Oryctolagus cuniculus: one gene and its partners. The protein of the gene in region 4 interacts with the protein of the main gene of each other region in a biochemical or structural test. Links are inferred from orthologs where the notes say so. Each region holds a gene or a part of one and is shown on either strand. Other genes may lie near its edges.

What was found.
Region 1: of the proteins of CDC25C (region 4) and CHEK2, one has a biochemical effect on the other in vitro, tested with the Homo sapiens proteins (14 studies listed by BioGRID). The link is inferred for Oryctolagus cuniculus from reciprocal best matches to the Homo sapiens genes CDC25C and CHEK2.
Region 2: of the proteins of CDC25C (region 4) and CHEK1, one has a biochemical effect on the other in vitro, tested with the Homo sapiens proteins (16 studies listed by BioGRID and IntAct, with this or other methods). The link is inferred for Oryctolagus cuniculus from reciprocal best matches to the Homo sapiens genes CDC25C and CHEK1.
Region 3: of the proteins of CDC25C (region 4) and PLK3, one has a biochemical effect on the other in vitro, tested with the Homo sapiens proteins (2 studies listed by BioGRID, with this or other methods). The link is inferred for Oryctolagus cuniculus from reciprocal best matches to the Homo sapiens genes CDC25C and PLK3.
Region 5: of the proteins of CDC25C (region 4) and MARK3, one has a biochemical effect on the other in vitro, tested with the Homo sapiens proteins (3 studies listed by BioGRID, with this or other methods). The link is inferred for Oryctolagus cuniculus from reciprocal best matches to the Homo sapiens genes CDC25C and MARK3.

What each region holds. Positions count from the first base shown.
Region 1 is NC_091452.1:22,137,786-22,141,297, forward strand, and holds part of CHEK2 (serine/threonine-protein kinase Chk2), read right to left. Parts: intron 2,988-3,512; coding exon 2,824-2,987; intron 2,605-2,823; coding exon 2,489-2,604; intron 2,376-2,488; exon of another isoform or gene 2,276-2,375; intron 1,465-2,275; coding exon 1,379-1,464; intron 1-1,378. UniProt on the Homo sapiens protein: Serine/threonine-protein kinase which is required for checkpoint-mediated cell cycle arrest, activation of DNA repair and apoptosis in response to the presence of DNA double-strand breaks.
Region 2 is NC_091432.1:118,825,402-118,829,636, forward strand, and holds the start of CHEK1 (serine/threonine-protein kinase Chk1), read left to right. Parts: upstream 1-1,431; 5' UTR 1,432-4,049; intron 4,050-4,063; exon of another isoform or gene 4,064-4,218; intron 4,219-4,235. UniProt on the Homo sapiens protein: Serine/threonine-protein kinase which is required for checkpoint-mediated cell cycle arrest and activation of DNA repair in response to the presence of DNA damage or unreplicated DNA.
Region 3 is NC_091438.1:128,082,237-128,086,519, reverse strand, and holds the start of PLK3 (serine/threonine-protein kinase PLK3), read left to right. Parts: upstream 1-1,477; 5' UTR 1,478-1,583; coding exon 1,584-1,793; intron 1,794-1,957; coding exon 1,958-2,065; intron 2,066-2,148; coding exon 2,149-2,265; intron 2,266-2,391; coding exon 2,392-2,521; intron 2,522-2,602; coding exon 2,603-2,690; intron 2,691-3,440; coding exon 3,441-3,536; intron 3,537-3,613; coding exon 3,614-3,812; intron 3,813-3,924; coding exon 3,925-4,051; intron 4,052-4,187; coding exon 4,188-4,279; intron 4,280-4,283. UniProt on the Homo sapiens protein: Serine/threonine-protein kinase involved in cell cycle regulation, response to stress and Golgi disassembly. Polo-like kinases act by binding and phosphorylating proteins that are already phosphorylated on a specific motif recognized by the POLO box domains.
Region 4 is NC_091437.1:26,129,329-26,132,840, forward strand, and holds part of CDC25C (M-phase inducer phosphatase 3), read right to left. Parts: intron 1,087-3,512; exon of another isoform or gene 757-1,086; intron 487-756; 5' UTR 453-486; coding exon 259-452; intron 1-258. UniProt on the Homo sapiens protein: Functions as a dosage-dependent inducer in mitotic control. Tyrosine protein phosphatase required for progression of the cell cycle. When phosphorylated, highly effective in activating G2 cells into prophase.
Region 5 is NC_091451.1:46,337,388-46,340,899, reverse strand, and holds part of MARK3 (MAP/microtubule affinity-regulating kinase 3), read right to left. Parts: intron 734-3,512; coding exon 572-733; intron 1-571. UniProt on the Homo sapiens protein: Serine/threonine-protein kinase. Involved in the specific phosphorylation of microtubule-associated proteins for MAP2 and MAP4. Phosphorylates the microtubule-associated protein MAPT/TAU. Phosphorylates CDC25C on 'Ser-216'.

The DNA of each region.
Region 1 (3,512 bases), on a different chromosome or scaffold from region 4:
GTAACAGTTTTCTTTTGAGACAAAAAGCACAAGAAAAATAGGCTGCGATTGCTCGTAAATTCTAGGCAGATGCAAACCTGTTCCCAGGCCTAACTGGCCAGCTCCACTCCCCACCCCCACCCGGCCAAATGGACATAGCTCCTTATCTCTACATTTGGGCTCCAAGAGTTTCCCTGTTAGGACACATGAAAAGAGCCAAGAAGCATGTTTCTCTTTCTCACCAAAATTAAATCCCCACATGCATAGGGCATCCTTTGTCTCCAAACTCCTTTGCTCCGGGGTCCTGCTGTTTCAAGTCTGTGTGGTCTATTAAATGCTAAATCATCTGACAGATTTCTTCTGGGGGGGACTGCAGTTTCCAGGGCAACATCCAAAACACATATATCTGCCTTTTTTTTTCTTTTAAGGATTTGCTGCTCTCAACCTGAGCTGAGTTGAGCAAACTGTTAGGTGTAGAGGGTAGCAAGAGTGAAGGCACAATCTTCCAGGAGTCCCAAAAGTATGGAGCTGAGGCCAAATGGTCCAACGAGTTCCTAGACCAGCAATCCCCATAGTGATGGCCTCTTTCTTGAGCGACATGGCTTAAGAGACCATGCACACACGAGACCAAAGGTTAACAGAAATAAGAATGGCTGTACTGAGAAGACTAGACATCCATCAGAAATCCTACCCCATGCTGTAGCTAATTCCAAAACTAAAGACTACCCTAGCAAAGCCACAAAGGACTTCCAACTCTGGCAGCTCCAAATGAGGTCAGTGCACAACTGAATGGCAACCACAACCCCCAGCAGGAAGATGAGGGTAATGCAGACTTGAAAGGTGCAGGTGACAGCCCACACTGATGGCATGCTTACTCACCATGAACCAGAAGTGGGACCCTGACATCCAATTACTGGGGCTTGAGAAATAGCTGCATTCTCCCCCAGGAAGTCAACCCTCCTCCACCTCCCCCAGGTTCCCAGATTCAAGGCTGCTGATGGCTGGAATGCAGCCCACCCATCCTGGGACGGCAGGGAATGGGGTGGGGGGGTGGGGGTGGAGTATTGTTAAGGGTGGAGCCAGAGAAATCTCTCAAAGGAACAGAGCCAAATGTAGACTCAGGGCAGCCAAGTGGGGCTGGAATAAGCCATAAAGTGCTTGTCCATCCAACAGCCTCAATAATAGCACAGAGATTACATGCCACAAATATACATACAACCACACCCTACCTATTACCTACAGCTTGATCTAAAATAATTGAACAGACCGAAGGAAACAAATGTGTTTCTGTCCTCTTCTTCCTCCTCTTCCTCCTCCTTCTTCTTTCTCTCTCTCTCTCTCTCTGCCATTTGAGGGCCCTCCATGTATTTTATGCTAGCAAAAATTGCCCCACACCAACCTGAAGCCAAGGGTGATTTAAAGCTTCTTCTGTTGTAAGACGCACCTTTGGGTCCACTACCAACAACTTCTTGACGAGGTCCAGAGCTAAAGCAACAAGATAATTGGGCAGAGCACAGTGAAAAGGATCAATACATGGAATCAGCAATATTAAAGTATACCAGAGTTACAGGCCACCATCCAGAAAGAGAGAGGGTCTGAGATCACCATGGAGTCAGCAGAACGGTGGGCAGGGCCCCTGTTCCTCCTCACTCCCAGTGTCCAAAGTACTCTACTCTGAACACCTGGGTTGATAATGATACTCCCTGTGTCTCCCTTCTGGGACATTACAACCTCTCAGCTCCTGTTCCCTGTTACTGGACTCAAGTTCAAAACTAATTACAGCTGAACTTTCACCCAGTTGTAAGAAACTCAGGATGCATAGCCAGCTCGCTCTCGCGCGCTCTCTCTCTCTCTCTCTCACCCAGGGGCTGATGCTGCCAGTTCCTAAACCAGAAAGAGGCTCCCTGGAACTGCAGCCTTGTTGGAAAAGAACTACTCCAGCAATCAACAGTTCCAGGCTGGTTTATCTACCCCAACAATGCTATTCCTTAAACATTCCGACATTTAACAGAATCACCTAGGTTACATTGTTTGACATTTAGTTTTCATTCTCTACTTCTTCTTCAGGGAATTACAAGGTTGCACTTTTAAGTTATAAAATACAATGGCATCTGGCTTTTACACTACTTAAAGGAAACTTTGCAACTGAAGAGTTACTTATTATTTTGCTCACTCAACTGGGAAACAGGCACTTGTATAAAGGATACTTAAGCCTTATAAAAGGCCTCTAAAGTAAGGGTTATTAAGGGCCCAGTTGACAAATAAAGACAATGGGGACTGGGAGGGGTTAAGTTACCTGCCTAAGGCCAAACAGCTATGCAGATCCAGGACTTGAGCCCAGGCTCTTAGAATAAAATTCCTCTGCTTTTCAAGTGGTGCAAAACTAACACTAGAAGCTAAGAACAGAATTGACAGGAGAAAACATATCATAGAATTTGAAAAGAAGCTCCCACCACAGCACACACACATTTTGGCAAACCACAGACTCTTAACCCTTTCGTATCCATACCCTTCTCTGAAACATCTGCCCAGACTTCAGGAATGAAGTTGTATTTTCCACTGGTGATCTGATCCTTCAGGGACACTTGCGTCTTATGCTCAGAGAAAGGTGGATACCCACTAAGGCTTAATATTGGCAGAAAGAGAAAGGAGAAGAAATCAAGTGGCATTTTCAGTGGCATTTGGACATATGGATGTCTTTTTCATTACCATGAAAAATCAAGTATTTCTTTAGATCCATGGTTGAAAAGTGACCTCAATGAAACCTGGAATCCATCTGAACAAGTTTACGATTTCATCTAATCACCTCCAACCAGACTGTGAGGCAATGAAAGCTTTTCTTACCAGATAAAAAGGATGACGCCCAGGCTCCAGCAGTCCACAGCGCGGTTATACCCGGCTGTCCCAATGGACAGAAGAACCTCAGGAGCCAAGTAGGTGGGGGTACCACACAAGGTTCTCATGAGCGAGGTCTCCCCCAAAATCTTGGACTGCCCAAAATCAGTAATCTAAAAATAAGCACAAAAGGGAATAACAAATAATATAAACATATATTATACAGAGTATATATACACATGTGTGTGTATGTGTTTGTGTGTGTATTGATGAACAGACTCTGCCAGTCCCAAAAGACATGTAAGGGAGGGTGCTGTGGCACAGCTTCAGATATCCACAACCCATATTATCCCATATTTGAGTCCTGGCTATCTGCACTTCCAATAAAGCTTCCCCATAACGTACCTGGGAGGCAATGGATGGCCCAAGTACTTGGATTCCTGCCACCCATTTGGGAGATCCAAGATTTCCTGGCTCCTGGCTTGTATTAGCTTTTCCCTGGCAGTTCAGGGGGGCAATAGGGAATGAACCAGCAGATGGAGGATCTCCTTCTCACTCTTTTTCTGTCTCTCCTTCTTTCTGTCACTCTGCCTTTCAAATAAATAAATATATCTTTTTGGCCACTGTTGTAGCACAGCAGGTGAAGCCACCACCTACAATGCTTGCATCTCATATGAGCACAGGTTCAAGTGCTGCTC
Region 2 (4,235 bases), on a different chromosome or scaffold from region 4:
TTAGGCCATCCTCTGTGGCTTTCCCAGGCACATTAGTGGAGAGCTGGATTAGAAATGAAGCAGCAGTCAGGACTTGACCCACTACTCCAATAGGGGATGCTGGCCTGCCAAACATAATATCCCCCACGCGCCCTCTTATCACCTCTAAATACCTTCCTGACAAAGTGTTTGAAGGAGATAAATTTCTTGAGATTGCATGTTTCTTGTCACACTCAATTCATAGGTTGGCTGGATATTTCAGGTTGGGAATAATTTACTTTAGGATCATTGTGAAGGCATTGGCCTGCTGTTTATTCCAAATTTTGAGAAATGAATACTGTCCTGTTTTTTGGTATGTCTTTTCCCTCCCACTCATTGCAGACCTCTTAGAATCTTTAAAGTTGTTTTTTTTTTTTTAAGATTTATTTTATTTATTTGAAAGAGTTACAGAGAGAGGTAGAGACAGAGAGAGAGAGGTCTCTCCAGATGGCTGCAACGGCCGGAGCTGTGCTGATCCCAATGATGTGTTTTAAGTGAGTCATTCATTTTGCTGAGTACTTTGAATTTTTAAATATGGAAAGTGAAGTTCTTCAGTTCTGGTAAATATTCTTGTATTCCATGTGAATTCCTCCAACCCTCTTTCTTTCTGAAAAATTACTTATTTTGATGTTGAACTTTCTGAATTAAATCTCCTAGTATTCTTGTTGCTTTCCATCTTCCTTCTGGGAGACTTCCTCAACTTTATTTTTCTACTTAAAATAGTTTTTTTCTGCTATATTTTTAGTGATCAAAAGCTTTTTTTTTGGGTTTGAATATTCCTTTGTTTTGACATTTTTCCAATTAAAGACTCTCAAATTCTTGGTTGTCTGCTTTTTTGACTTGGATCCTAAAAAGCTCATTGAAAGGTTTGCTAGGGGCAGAGCTTATTGATATCAGTTTCTTTTCTTTCTTTTCTTTTTTTAAGATTTATTTATTTGAGTTACACAGAGAGGAGGAGAGGCAGAGAGAGAGAGAATCTTCCATCCGCTGGTTCACTCCTCAATCGGCCACACTGGCTGGAGCTGGGCAGATCCAAAGCCAGGAGCCAGGAGCTACTTCTGGGTCTCCCACGTGGGTTCAGGGACCCAAGGAATTGGACCACCTTCTGCTTTCCCAGGCCATAGCAGAGAGCTGGATCAGAAGTGGAGCAGCCGGGACTTGAACTGGTGCCCATAAGGGATGCCAGCATTGCAGGCAGCGGCTTTACCTGCTATGCCACAGCACTGGCCCCTCAGTTTCTTTTCTTTCTTTCTTTCTTTTTTTTGACAGGCAGAGTTAGACAGTGAGAGAGAGAGAGACAGAGAGAAAGGTTTTCCGTTGGTTCACTCCCCAAATGGCCTCTATGGCCGGCGTGCTGCGCTGATCTGAAGCCAGGAGCCAGGTGCTTCTTCCTGGTCTTGGAAGAAGGACTTGGGCCATCCTCCACTGCCTTCCCTGGCCACAGCAGAGAGCTGGACTGGAAGAGGAGCAAACGGGACAGAATCCGGCACCCCAACCGGGACTAGAACCTGGAGTGCCAGCGCCACAGGCAGAGGACTAGCCTAGTGAGCCGGGGCGCCGGCCAGCCCCTCAGTTGCAATCTATTGTGATTGGGCTAGACTGTTAAATTGGGAAATCTCTGACGCTGATATTTTTAGGTTATTTTTCTCCTACATAGGTGAGCATCCTTTGAAAAGGTTTGTGTATCCTCTTACTTAAGTATATAAGCCAAGCTGTCAGTTTTCTGTTAGTATAGTAGGGAAGGAAAATCTAAGGCTCAACCTTCAGTGCATAAACTCAATTCTATTGCTTTAAAGTACTCAAGCAAAAACCATGCCTAACACGGAAATGCTGAACTCAGTTCATATGCCATGCATTTACCTTTTCTAGTATTATCCTAGTTTTGATGTTGACTAGATCCTTGGTGCATGGAGGAATGGGGATAAAAGGGACAGTGGTTTCTTTGTTTCTTATGGTCTTTCTGTCTGTTTTTAACCCCACTTTCACCTCTACATTCAGCATTACCTGGATTCAGCAATTCAACTTGAACCTTTTGGGATTTCTGAGATGTAAATAAGTTGCTTTTCTGTTTTCCTATTGCTATCTTTGGGATTTATCTTTATTTCACTTAAGTTAGTACCTTTCATCTAAAGGTCTTCCATTTTCCAACATTTTATTAACCATTCTTAATGGTTTTTTAAAAATTTATCCCTTACTATTATTTTTGTAAGGTTTCATAAGGGAACGATCTATTCTCAGAAGTGCTATCTCATATATTCTACCTTTAAATGGTATTCTGCCTAAATCTGCATACCCTTTTTCAGGCTAAAATGATGTATTCTATCCAGACTACATGAGAACTGTGCAGCTCCTTTTCCTTTTTTAAAAGATTTTACTTGTTTGAAAGGCAGTTATAAAGGAAAGACATCTTCCATCCACTGGTTAACTCCCCAGATGGTTGCAATAGCAAGAACTGGAGCAGGTTGAAGCCAGGAGCTTCTTGGACTCCCACACCAGAGCAGGGGCCCAAGCACTTGGGCCATCCTCAGCTGCTCTCTCAGGCACGTTAGCAGGGAGCTGAGTTGGAAGTGGAGCAGCTGGGACTCGAACCGGCGCCCATATGGGATGCTGGTGTCCAGGTGGCAGCTTCACCCCCTTTGACACAACGTGGCCCCTCCTTTTCCTTTTTTAATAGTGGCAGATGTCTTCCATTCACTGGTTCATTCCCCAAATTCCTGATCTCACGTGGGTGGCAAGAGCTGAAGTACTTGGGCTAAGACTCTCAGGCTCATTAGCAGGAAGGTGGATTGGATCTCCAACCAAGCACTCTGATAAGTGGGACGTGGGTGTCCCATGCAGTGGCTTAAACTGCTGCAGCACTATGACTGCCTTTATCTGACCTCTTCATATTGTTTGCAGCATACAGTATGCATCTAGAACAGTTGCTGTGTATTACATGAAACCGAAACTGTAATACCATGTTTCAAAGCTTCATACGGAAAGCAGCTGGAGATTTATTCTTGATTTCTGCCCCTAAGTTTGCTTCTTTTCAGTCAGACGTGTGCATATTTGGTGCAATATATTTTACACCTATTACTAGTATGACAGTAGCTCGTTTTGCTAGGTGTATGCGGCTCAGCTTTGAGGACTGGCATACTTAATGGAGATGACCGTGTTGGTACCTTGAATTCTCACTTTCCAGACTGTTTAGTTAAGTCCTTTTCCTCAGAGTTTGGTTTGCCATTCAAGTTTGCTTTTATATTTGTATTGTAAATTTTTATTTTGGCTTCCACTTACCTATTTCTTATACATTAAGAATTAGAAAGCTAGCAGAACTAAACTAGGCAGATGGTCATCCTTCAAAAAGATTGGCTGAAGTATTGTTTTGGAGGCTTTTCACAGACAAGGCAAAACTGGTTCTCCTGACATTACCGCCAACTCCAAAAACATTAGATGCCTCTGGCTCCCACGTCAGAATTCACTCATTCTTCACAGGCTCCACTCTCAACAGCTGTTGCAAGCTTCTCGGCTCGAGAATGGGTCCGGCACTCAAGCTGACACAGTGTTTACGACGCTGCCCGCAGTTCCGCCGTGCAGGTGCGCGGAGGTCGCGGGCCGGTCGCTTTACTTAGAATAGCGACGTAGCCTTTCCCGGAGCAAAGCGGGGACCCCCCGGCCCGCAGGGATGGCCCGCTTTGGGACGGAGGCTTCCCCTCCGCCCAGTCGGGCTCCACACACCGGATGTCGTTTCGCATTTGGCCCAGAGGCCAATTCCCACTGACGGGACGGGCAGCTCCTAAATTTCTTCAACCAGGAACCTCACGGATTACAAAGTAGCCCGTGCCCGGCAGGCTGAAGACGTCCGCTGGAGGCACCGCCTCCTGGCGCGGGGCGTTAGCAGCAGCCAGTCTTCAGAGGAGGCAGGCATGGGAACGTGCGCTGCCCTACTTTACGGCAAGGACGCGCTCGTTTGCGACACGGTGACGCAAGCAAGTTTTGGCGGGAAAAGCGCTGCATTTGGATTCCTGTAGTGGCGGGCTAAGGACAGCCTGGTGAGGAGTGGCCGGTTGGGTGGGAAAGGAACCCGGGGAAGGGGTTCGGAAGTTAGTGAGGAGGAACACAGTGAGAAAGTTATCGTTGACGGGCGAAGGCAGAAGTGACTCCCGCGGAGAGGCGGTTTCGGAAGGTGGAGGTGTATAGTACTAAGGGGGTCTCCGTTGTGTGAGTAGGGGGCGGGG
Region 3 (4,283 bases), on a different chromosome or scaffold from region 4:
CTGAGTGACTTTAGCAACTGATTGGATGGTACAGGGTGAGGACAGAATTGAGAGGAGCTGTGGTCATTGCACGAACACTCCAGAGGAGTTCAGACCCCATCTCTGTCTCTGGCCCTGGGAAAGGTGGGCACCAAGCGGGGTCTGACTCCAGACGGCCCCAGGACCAGCTGCTGCTGCCTGTAACATCAGAATCACATATGGGTGCCGGTTGGAATCCCAGTTGCTCCATTTCCGATTCAGCTTCCTGCTAGTGCACCTGGAGAGGCAGCTGAGGATGGCCCAAGTCCTTGGGCCCCTGCCACTCATGTGAGACTCCAGGATGGAGTTCCTGCTCCCAACTTCAACCTGGCCCAGCTCTAGCTGCTGTGGCCATTTAGGGAGGGAACCAGATCTCTGTCTCCCTCCACTTTCCAAGCTCGGCTCCAGAGTGTGCCATTCCTGTCACTCTCTACAGGGGGCAGCACTGGCCTGGCCCGGCTGGCCTGGCCCAGGCGTGGGACCTCTAGGTACTGAATGCTGTAAGGGTAATGTGGGTGACACGCCCTGACACACCCAGACGAAAGCTAGAGCCTCCTCATCCAAGGTCCCAGTGTGATCCACCTATCACAGGTGGGGAACGCCCTGCCGGCCTGGGGTGAGTGGTTAAGGCTCAGGAAGCAATTTGATCTGGCCCTGCCAAGACAATCAGCAGGTAGACTCTAAATTCAATAAATCTATAGCAGGCTAATTTTAAAGAGATTTATTTATTTATGTGGAAGTCAGAGTTAGAGAGAGAGAAGGAGAGACAGGGAGATCTTCCTCCTGCTGTTCACTCCCCAGATGAGCACAGTGAAGCCAGGAGTTTCTTCCGGGTCTCCCTCGTGGATGGCAGGGGCCCAAACACTTGGGCCATTTTCTCATTGCTTTTCCCAGGCCGTTAGCAGAGGGCTGGATCAGAAGTGGAGCAGCCGGGACTGGAACCGGTGCCCATATCTGGTGCCCATATGGAAAGCTTTATGGGCTTTACCCACCAGGACACAATGCAGGCCCCAACAGCAGGATACTTTTTAAGCTGATCATTTTGTAAAGATGTTATAGGTAACCAAATGGCCCTGGAAGAAATAAGGCTCTCCATCCCCGCTGGAGACTCCGCCCATGCCTGCCCCTCACTGCAACTTCAGTGCCCACACCGAAGAATATGGAAAGGAAGGAGGACCCTTTAGCGGGACGCGGCCAGGGAGGGGTGTACGGGGAGACAAGCCTCAGTTAGCCCGAGCGCCCCACTGGCACCTGCCTGGCGACCGGCAGGGTAGCGCCTGCTTTACAGGGTGGGCGGGAGGCGGGGCCTCGAAGCGCGTCGAGGAGGAGGAGGAGCTTTTAGGTGACGCAAGGCCGGCAAGGGGCGTGGCTTCTCGGGACTCGCGGCCAGGAAGGGGCGGGGCTGTCGGTGACGAGACGCCGGGGTGGGGACAGGCGTTCATTGATAAAAACGCCGGGCTCCCTCAGGCGCGAGCGCAGCGTAGCAAATCCAGGCAGCGCCACGCGCGGCCGGGGCCGGGCGGAACGGAGAGCAAGCCGGGGCCGCGCTGCGTCGCGCTGTCCGCATGGAGCCTGCCGCCGGCTTCCTGTCCCCGCGCCCTTTCCCGCGTGCGGCCGCCCCGCCCGCGCCCCCCGCCGGACCCGGGCCGCCTCAGAGTGCCTCGCCCAGACCCGAGCCCGAGATGCTGGCCGGGCGGCCGGCGCCGGACCCCGGGCGCCTCATCACCGACCCGGGCAGCGGCCGCACCTACTTCAAAGGCCGCTTGTTGGGCAAGGTGGGTCGGGGGCTCTCCGTGATGCGGGTGGGGTGGAGGGGGCTCCGCCGATCTCTTTTCCGGCGTCGGGCGGGGTAGGGGCGCGTGACCCGACGCGGGGACGCCTGCCTGCGGGCCAGATCCGCCTTCCCTGGAGCTCCCGGCCTGATGGCCTCTCCTCATAGGGGGGCTTCGCCCGCTGCTACGAGGCCACCGACACAGAGACCGGCAGCGCCTACGCGGTCAAAGTCATCCCGCAGAGTCGTGTCGCCAAGCCGCATCAGCGCGAGAAGGTGGGTCCGGGCCCGGCGGCCGAGGGGTGGGGTCGGTGGCGTGGGAATCTTGGGAGGATGACCGCCTCGCACCCCCATCGCAGATCCTGAACGAGATTGAACTGCACCGAGACCTGCAGCACCGCCATATCGTGCGCTTCTCGCACCACTTTGAGGATGCTGACAACATATACATTTTTCTGGAGCTTTGCAGTCGAAAGGTGAGGAATGGTGATTCTGGCGGGGATGGGGCAGGGGGACGGCGGGGTGGGGGGGCGGTCTTAAGACTCAGAGCTGGGGGCGGGCGGAGGTGGCGTGGGGTGGGCTAAGACAGTGGCTCTCTGCAGTCCCTGGCCCACATCTGGAAGGCCCGACACACCCTGTTGGAGCCAGAGGTTCGCTACTACCTGCGGCAGATTCTTTCCGGCCTCAAGTACTTGCACCAGCGAGGCATCTTGCACCGGGACCTCAAGCTGGGTGAGGCTCCTGGGCCCCAAGGATGGGGGGTTGGGGAGGAAGCGAGGGAGGGCTCTGACACACCTCTCTGTCCTTGTCCAGGAAATTTCTTCATCACCGAGAACATGGAACTCAAGGTGGGGGATTTTGGGCTGGCAGCTCGGTTGGAACCGCCAGAGCAGAGGAAGAAGTAAGTGTTTGATGGGAGGGGTGGCCACAGTCTGTGTGTGACACAGATCAGTGTGTGTGGCAGACTGTGCGTATGGACGTGGGAGGCAGTGTGACGGCCGGGTGTGTGCTGGTGGTAAACGAGGAAAGGGTAATGGGGTTGTTTGTGTGCGAAGGTGGAGGTGGCAGCCTGGGTCGCTGTGACTGGGGAGGTGCATGACAAACACAGAGGGGGTTGGTGGCCCTGCGTCTGAGGTGCCAGGACTCTCAGAGGTGTGTGGCTGACCCTGGGTGTGGATGGGGGAAGGTGCCAGTGTAGACCTGTATGTGTGAGACAGAGAGCGTGGGGATGGTGGGACGTGACGTCCTGTGGCCATTGTGACTGGGCGTGCATGACACACGTAGCATGTGGGGCAGATGAGTGTTTACGGGCGATGTGACAGCTGGTGTTGGTGTGTGTGGCGCAGACCTTAGGAGGGTGTCTGACAGACGGGAGTGGGGGAGGGGAAGGGAGCTGTAGCAGGCCCTCTGTGGAGGAGGGGGCTGAGTTGGGGGTCAGGGCCTCTGCCTGTCCCATAGCGCAGCTGAGCAGCTGGGCCAAGAGAGTAGGCGGGGACTCAGCTGCCGTCCCCAGCATCCATTGTCCCAGGACAAGCAGGAGTTCTCTGGCCTTTGGTGACAGGCAGCTGCTTTGTCTGGACTCGCAGCGGGGGCAGGGAGGGCTGTGGGGCTGGGGCTGAGCCTCCCCCTCCTCCTCCCTACCTTCTTCCAGGACCATCTGTGGCACCCCCAACTATGTGGCTCCAGAAGTACTGCTGAGACAGGGTCATGGCCCTGAGGCAGATGTGTGGTCACTGGGCTGTGTCATGTGAGTGCCAGGGAGAGACGGGGGTGGGCACAGGGGTGCGGTGTGCCCTCCCCCTTACCCTTTGCCTGGCCCCACAGGTACACTCTGCTGTGTGGGAGCCCCCCCTTTGAGACGGCTGACCTGAAGGAGACGTACCGCTGCATCAAGCAGGTTCACTACACGCTGCCCGCCAGCCTCTCACTGCCTGCCCGGCAGCTCCTGGCCGCCATCCTGCGGGCCTCACCCCGAGACCGCCCCTCTATCGACCAGATCCTGCGCCATGACTTCTTTACCAAGGTCTGTGGGTTCCCCAGACACCGAAGCCCACATTCCCAGAGATAAATAGGGGTGGGGGGGACAGGGCCCGGGAGCCTCTTTTCTCTGTTCACGGCGGCGCTCCTCTTCCCAGGGCTACACCCCCGACCGGCTCCCCGTCAGCAGTTGCGTGACAGTCCCAGACCTGACACCCCCCAATCCGGCTAGGAGTCTGTTTGCCAAAGTCACCAAGAGCCTCTTTGGCAGGAAGAAGAATAAGAGTGAGTCTGAGCTGTCCGTAGGTTGAGGGTACAGAGTGGCTTGTCACACAGGCCGCGGGCATGAGGGAGCAGGCGTGGCACCCCGCGGGGAGCAGGGGCGCAGGGCGGGAGTCTGAGGAGCTGCCTTCTTCCCCAGACAAGAACCATCCTGAGGAGCGGGATGAAGTCTCCTGTTTGGTGAGCGGCCTTGTGCGCACATCCATTGGCCACCAGGATGCCAGGCCCGAGGTGA
Region 4 (3,512 bases):
CATAATGATATGGAGTTTTCCCAGATATCACATTATTTGACTCTTACCAGAACCCAGGAAGACAGGAAGAGATTATTAGTTCCATGCAACAGAAAAGTAGTCTGAGATTCAAAAGGGTCAGAGCAGAGCTGAGACTCCAATGTTGATCTTTGAGCCAGGATAATTTAAAAAACAAAACACACACACACACACACACACACACACACACTTGTTTAGAGAAGTCAAGGATATAAGCTTTAAGAATAAAGGTGGATTTACCCAGACAAAACGCTGAGATTTGCAGAATCACCAAGCAGTCTGTCCCCTGGAGTTCTCGGGAGCTCTGGACAGAGGGTAAAGGAATTGTCTCTCTCCAAGAGCAGGTGTAGCATCTTCCTCTGATTGGACCTAAAACTGGGGCCTGAGCCAAAGCTCCCCTCCTCTCTCGTGGACGAAAAGAGATCTGCAGCCATGGTCTCGGAGCTCTCACCAAGGAAAAGGCGAAACCTAGCGAGAAGAGGACGTCGCTCCTGTAAGTGCAGCGCAGCCCCTTCCGATTCCAACCCCCTCAGGTCTGCAGTCAAGGGGACCGGAGCCGCACCAGGGGCATCCCCAAAGGGCGGATCACAGCCTCGCTCGACGCCTAAGGCACTGGCCCGAAGCGGCGGGGCTTTTGCGTCAGAGCCTGCACTTACTGAGAGGCAACCTCAGGACTTTAACCGCGGAATACAGACAGACCTTCCACCTGCTCAGAGCCACACAACTGGACACTCCTACCTGGAAGGGGCTCAGCTCTCCCAAGTCATGGCAATGCCCATTCCGTCCTCTGAACTAATCGAGGGGACAATGAGGTCCTGGGCACTCTGTGGCGGAGACAGCGGCCAAATTTACCTCACGTTTGTAGTCTGACAACGGCCTTCGGGAGAAAGTGGGTAGCGGTCGGACACGAGCGAAGACTCGAGCAGAATGAAAGGACGCGGTTCACCAGCTTGAAATTCCGCTTGTCCACTGCGTAGGCCAGGGTCGGGCTTCGCCGCCCCTCAGGTCAGAAAGCCAGCGCTAGAGCCTCTGGACAAGCCCATCAACAGCCGCGAGTCTCGACCATTCAAACCTTCCGCCCTCCCACTAACCTATCCCCGCTGGCCTCCAAGACGCGTCAGCCAATCTCCGCGCGCCCGCCCACATCCTGGTAGCCAATCTTTTGGCTCGTACCTCACCCGGGGGGCGTGAGCAGGTTCCGGAAGTGGGACAAAACATGCCCCACCCCTGGAGCCAGAGCAGGATGGCGAGTGGTGCACTAGCGTCGGGCAAGCTTGTGAATAGGCTCCGCCCCGCAGGGAGCCTGACGCACCACTGGCTCTCCCTCTGGCCAATCGCCACACCTTCTCTGTACTTTCCCTTTGCCCCGCCCCGCCAACCCCGGGAGATTTAAATTGCTCCTCGTTAACCACCACCATTTGCTAGGATATTAGAAGAGATAATTAGGAGTGTGAGGGTGTTTTAAGCATTATTTTTTCCTTGCTTTTCTTGCGTCGTTATGGGACCTTTCCGTCTTAGCTAGCTTTCCTCTGAGGACCAGGCATTTGCTGCGGGGTGGCAGGTGGAGGTGTGAGCAGGTGTGTGTGTTTATGCTAAGCAAGATAGGTGCCTTCCAAGGAGCTTCCGTTGTCCGGTGTCCCTTTGAGAGCGCAGCAGCTCACAGTCGATAATTATGTGGGTAAAAAGAAATTGCTTCTCAGGGAAAGTAAGGAAATTGAATCATCCAGGCACAATCCATCCTTATCACAGTGCAAAAGATCTTTAGAAATCTGAACACTGACTAGTTGAAATTTTTTAATACTGGGAAGATGCTTCTTAATAATTGGGTGGTTTATAGATGAGATTTGTCATGACTCTTGGGTAATGGAGGTGTCCATCATATTAGGGTTTCCTAAAATTTAGTTTTGCCTTCTAATCATCTGGAGATCCTGTCAAAATGCAGAGTCTGTTCAGCAGGGCTGCATTGTGTCCCAAGATCCTGCACTTTAAACAAATGCCCAGCTGATGTTGAGGCACTTGGACTTGGGACCATACTTAGGTAAGGGATTATGCTATACTCGTCACACTTCAGTGTGTATTTAGAATGGCTCATATTAAAAAAAAGCTTTATAAGCTTATAAAAGCTGTTTAAAATGCAGGCCCCAAAAAAGATGTTGCCACAGGTGTAGTGTGGGGACCAGGTATTATCAAGACCTAACCACCTCACCCCAGGGTACTACCCATACAGATGGCTCACAGACCCCACTTTGAGAAATAAAAGTCAGAAATGCAAACGTTATCTTTGAGATGCAGTAAGTCAGCAATACAACTTATATTGACCTCAGGATCTTGGTGATGGTAGTGAATGAGCAGTGCAGACTAGTCAGATGAGTTTTATTTTAACTTTTTCATCTGTGGAGCCTGCTTCCCCAGAAAGGAGGTTTGTGAACAGTCTTTGTCCTCCAGGACAGAGGTGCTGAGTGTGGGAGTCAGCACAAAGCCTTACTCTACCAAATGAGCTGGAAAATCAGGCAGGAATTAAGAGTGTGTGCATTGATTTCTGCTTCGATGTATTTTAAAGGGAAGTCAAATTTTGTCTTTTGTATCTTGACTTCTGAGGGGATTGGAATATATCTAATTTACACTTCCCAGAAGAAAGAACATCAGGATAGTAAGAAGCTAGGTGTTTAGACTGACATGAAGATGAAGATGTACTTTTTCTGTTAGATAGAGGATATTGATCTTATGTCATTCCCAGAAATTACTATCTAGGCTCCCGATTCACTGTGATAAGCAGTGAGCTGTGTCTCTTCATGTTGACCTCAGTGTGACCCATATTTGTTATTGCCAGGCCACAGTGACAGCCAGGGCTTCACCTTCAAACCTCAAACAAGAACAGAAGGTACAGCCATTGCTCCTCAGATATCCAGATTAGGTAATGGAGAAGGACCTACACACCTGGGACCCCTACCCACCTCCGGCCAATCTCTACAGGGCAGGGTGTCACTACTGCTTACTTCCATGAGTGATGGACTGAGTTCTGCCTCTCCCCACTTTGAAGAGGTTTAATTTTCCCTGGGTGAAAAGGGAGCGTCCGCACGAATGCATCTGCCTCTGACTTTGCTACCTTTGTAGGCAGGGAATGGAGCGACCCCTCAAGCCAATGGATTCTTCCCTTTGGAGGACTTCCTGGATGACTAGCACCAGGCCCTGGAAACCTCATTGAATTTGCATGGACACCAGAAGGGGGCCCAGGAAGCATACTCTGCTGAAACTCTTTGGAGCAAGATCACAGGTGGGGTCTGATCCATGAGGGAATAATTAAGATTGGACTCCGGGGCTGGCGTTGTGGCATAGCTGGTTAAGGTGCTGCCTATGACACTGGCATCCCATATAGATGCTGGTGGTTTATGTCCCAGCTGCTCCATTTCCTTTCCAGCTCCCTGCTATGTGCCTGGGAGGGCAGTGGAGGATGGCCCAAATGCTTAGGCCCCTGCACCCACACGGGAGATCTG
Region 5 (3,512 bases), on a different chromosome or scaffold from region 4:
ACATCACTTCCCAAGGCAGAAAGTCAGGTATAACAAACCCAAATCCAAGAGGTGCTTAATAGGACTTACAAACAAAAGGAGGTGGGAAAGAGGACCAAGCAATAGCATGTAAGAGAAAGCCTCACGGAGTTCCAGTTTACGTAAGTCTTTAAGGACAAGATTAATGGAAGGGAACTCAGGACAGAACGGCCGACTCAGGCTTCTCCCCTCTGCTTCCCTCTCAAACTGCTTACATGTAGAGAACTGTGCCAATGTGAGAGAAAGAAAGGATATGGAGGTGTAAGTAAACAACAGGCAACTAAAATGTCTGGAAGCACACAAATGGCATAAAATCCCACATGCTGAAGGCAACGCAGGAGGCAGAGGGAATTTCTTTTGCCCTTTGTGGTATGCAAAGGCACAAAAACACACAGAGATGACCAAGGACAGGGACAGGATGTGCTTAATCACAATCACATAGAAGGACACCTTGGGGACGACTGTAACAAAATCTTGGACTATAAAATCCACTGCACAGAATTGAGCAGCAGTGGGTACACGGCAGTTTCACAGGAATGTGGATTTTTCTTACACAGCCTTGAAGTTATCCCCTCCACTGTCTACTGGAGTTAGCATCATCCTGGGGTGCCCACAGGCTGACATCGACATCGACTTCTGATGTCTCAGCCGGCAGGTGGAGGATGTGGCACAAACTGAGGCAGTGCTAGCTGCGTAAGCGAACACTTCTGTCAGGCTGGGAGGGGTTTGGGTTCAGGCAGAGGCAGAAACAACAGTATGACGGAGTAATGGTGAAAAAAGAGGAAACTGCTATTCAAAGCACACACCTTCCTTCCCAAACAATCTCAGCTTTGTGAAAGAACAAAAATCTCTTATCTTGTTTCGGGGATTTTTGGTCTATCTGATAACCTAGAGCTGGCTTTTTTTCAAACAGTAATTTTAAAAGTTTATTAACTTAAAGAGTAAGTGTTATGTGTGAATTATCTATGTGAGAGTAACAGCACCCTCTGAGTTTGCTACAGGCAAAACAGCAATTCCCTTTAATCTTGACGGACACAGTCTAAGATGTTCAGAACCTGATACACTACGTTTTCTCCTATGCACACATATCAGTGATAAGATTTCATTTATAAATCAGGCAAATTAAGAAATTTAACAATAATATAGAAAAATATACTGTAATAGAAGTTGCTTAAAACTTAAGAATTGGGGCCAGCATCATGGCACTGGTGGTTCAGCTGGTTGTGACACCCACATCTTAGTTTCAGTCCCAGTTACTGTCCTTCTGATCCAGCTTCCTAACACACCAGGGGAGACTGCAGAAGATGGTCCAAATACTTGGGCCCATACCCACCCATGCAGGAGACCAGAGTTCCTGGCTCCTGGCTTCAGCCTGGTCCAGACCTGGCCACTGTGGCCATCTGGGAAGTGAACCAGTGGATGGAAGATCCCTTTCTGTCTCTCCCTTTCTACTTTCAAATAGATAAATACATATTAAAAAAGTAAAATAAATGAAAATTTATGAATTATTTCTAGAATCTTCCATTTAGTATTTCTGGACTATGGTTGACACTAGGTAGCTGAAATTGTCCAAAGCAAAACCTTGGATGAGAGGGGACAACTGGAGATAAGCATATTGTGCTGTCAATCTTTCTGAAAACACACTGACATATCATATCCTGTGTTGCTTTTTTTTTTTTTTTTTTTTTTTTTGACAGGCAGAGTTAGACATTGAGAGAGAGAAAGAGACAGAGAAAGTTCTTTTCTGTTGGTTCACCCCCCAAATGGCTGCTACGGCCGATGCACTGCATCGATCTGGAGCCAGGTGCTTCCTCCTGGTCTCCCATGTGGGTACAGGGCCCATCCTCCACTGCCCTCCCGGGCCAGAGCAGAGAGCTGGACTGGAAGAGGAGCAACTGGGACAGTGCCCCAACTGGGACTAGAACCTGGGGTGCCAGCACCGCAGGCAGAGGATTAGCCAAGTGAGCCGCGGCACCGGCCATGTTCTTTTAACAACAGTTTCAAACTTTGCTACTCATAGGACATCTATTCCTTTATAAAGGACAGCCAAAATTCCTAAAGAATCAAAGCTCCTTCTTTCAAGATGGGAAAATTCTTCAGAGCAAATTAGCTGTTTACAGACCCTACAGTGGTTGAAGGCTGCAGTTCACCTGCACAGACAGTTAAGGGCCAAAGCCACCCTGGAGGTCTCACTATGACCACTTCTACTCAACTCCAGTTCAGTCATAACATCTGCAGGATCCCAAGGGACAGTTTCTTTCCACTAGGGACAACAGAATTTTAGAATTTCCTCAACTCCCACTTACAGACCCCCTGTGACATCTGTGACACAGACCCTGGTGTCAATGTCTAGGAGCTCTTCAGTCGGCCCTCTCTCTCTGTCCACCTCTGCCATCAGAATCTGGTATAGGGCTTTGTTCCTCATCTTTATCATCTCCCTGACTTCATCCTCTACCTCCAATCTATCCACCAAATAGCTGTGAACTCCTCACAACACAAACATGGCCTGTCACTTATCTGCTCATACCCTTTTGCAGCAGTGAGTCAAACTCCTCATCTTCAGGTACCTGCGGTCTGCACCCTGCCACACTGCCAGGCTCCACCTTCTGTTGCTTCCTCTTGGAACCTGACTCTGGCTCTCCTGATCAGCACTAGTCAATGAACTTCTCCAGGAGCTTCCTCTCAGCCTGGAGAGCAGGCACCTATCCATGCACTCTGGAGGTCATTTCCTCCATGAAGTTTCCTCTGATGTGCTGCTCCTTTAGCGTCTGTAGTCATGTGTGCCACACTGGATCACAATGACTCTTTCCTACTGGGGCTCCCTGGAAGAATGGCCCATAATCTTGTCAGGGTGTCCCGTGGGGTCAGACGGAGCCCCAGGCAAAGCAGGTACTCAATATATGCTCTTCTTAAGGAGACTAGTTAGTCCAACAACAAGCTACTAGAATTCTGACATTCCTAACATGAGGGAGACAGGTCTTTAAAATGAACTGGTCAAAAAGGGCTGCTTACATTAGAAAAAAGTTTATTTTCATTTATTTGAAAGGTAGAGAGCGAAAGAATGCTTCCATCTGCTGAGTTACTCCCCAAATGCCAACAGCCAGGGATGGGACAGGCTGATGCCAGTAGCCTAGAACTCTATGTGGGTCTCCCACATGGGTAGCAGGTGCCCAGGCAATGGAGCCATCATCTACTGCTTCCTGGATGATAGAGCAGGAAAGCAGATTGGAAGTAGTTAGGACTCAAACCAGCACTCCCTATATAGGATGCAGGCATTCCAAGTGGTGGCTTAACCTGCTGCACCAACACCCACACCTGTCTTTGCACTTTTATTTGAGAATTTTTCCCTCTGCTTCGGGAGAGTGGCTCGATATAATCAGAGAATAACTGGAAACAAATGCCTTATATAATAAATAATTAGAAAGATCTCATTTTCCCCTATTTAAATGAAGGGCAGTGAATGAGAGATCAATCAACTGATCGATGATCTATTC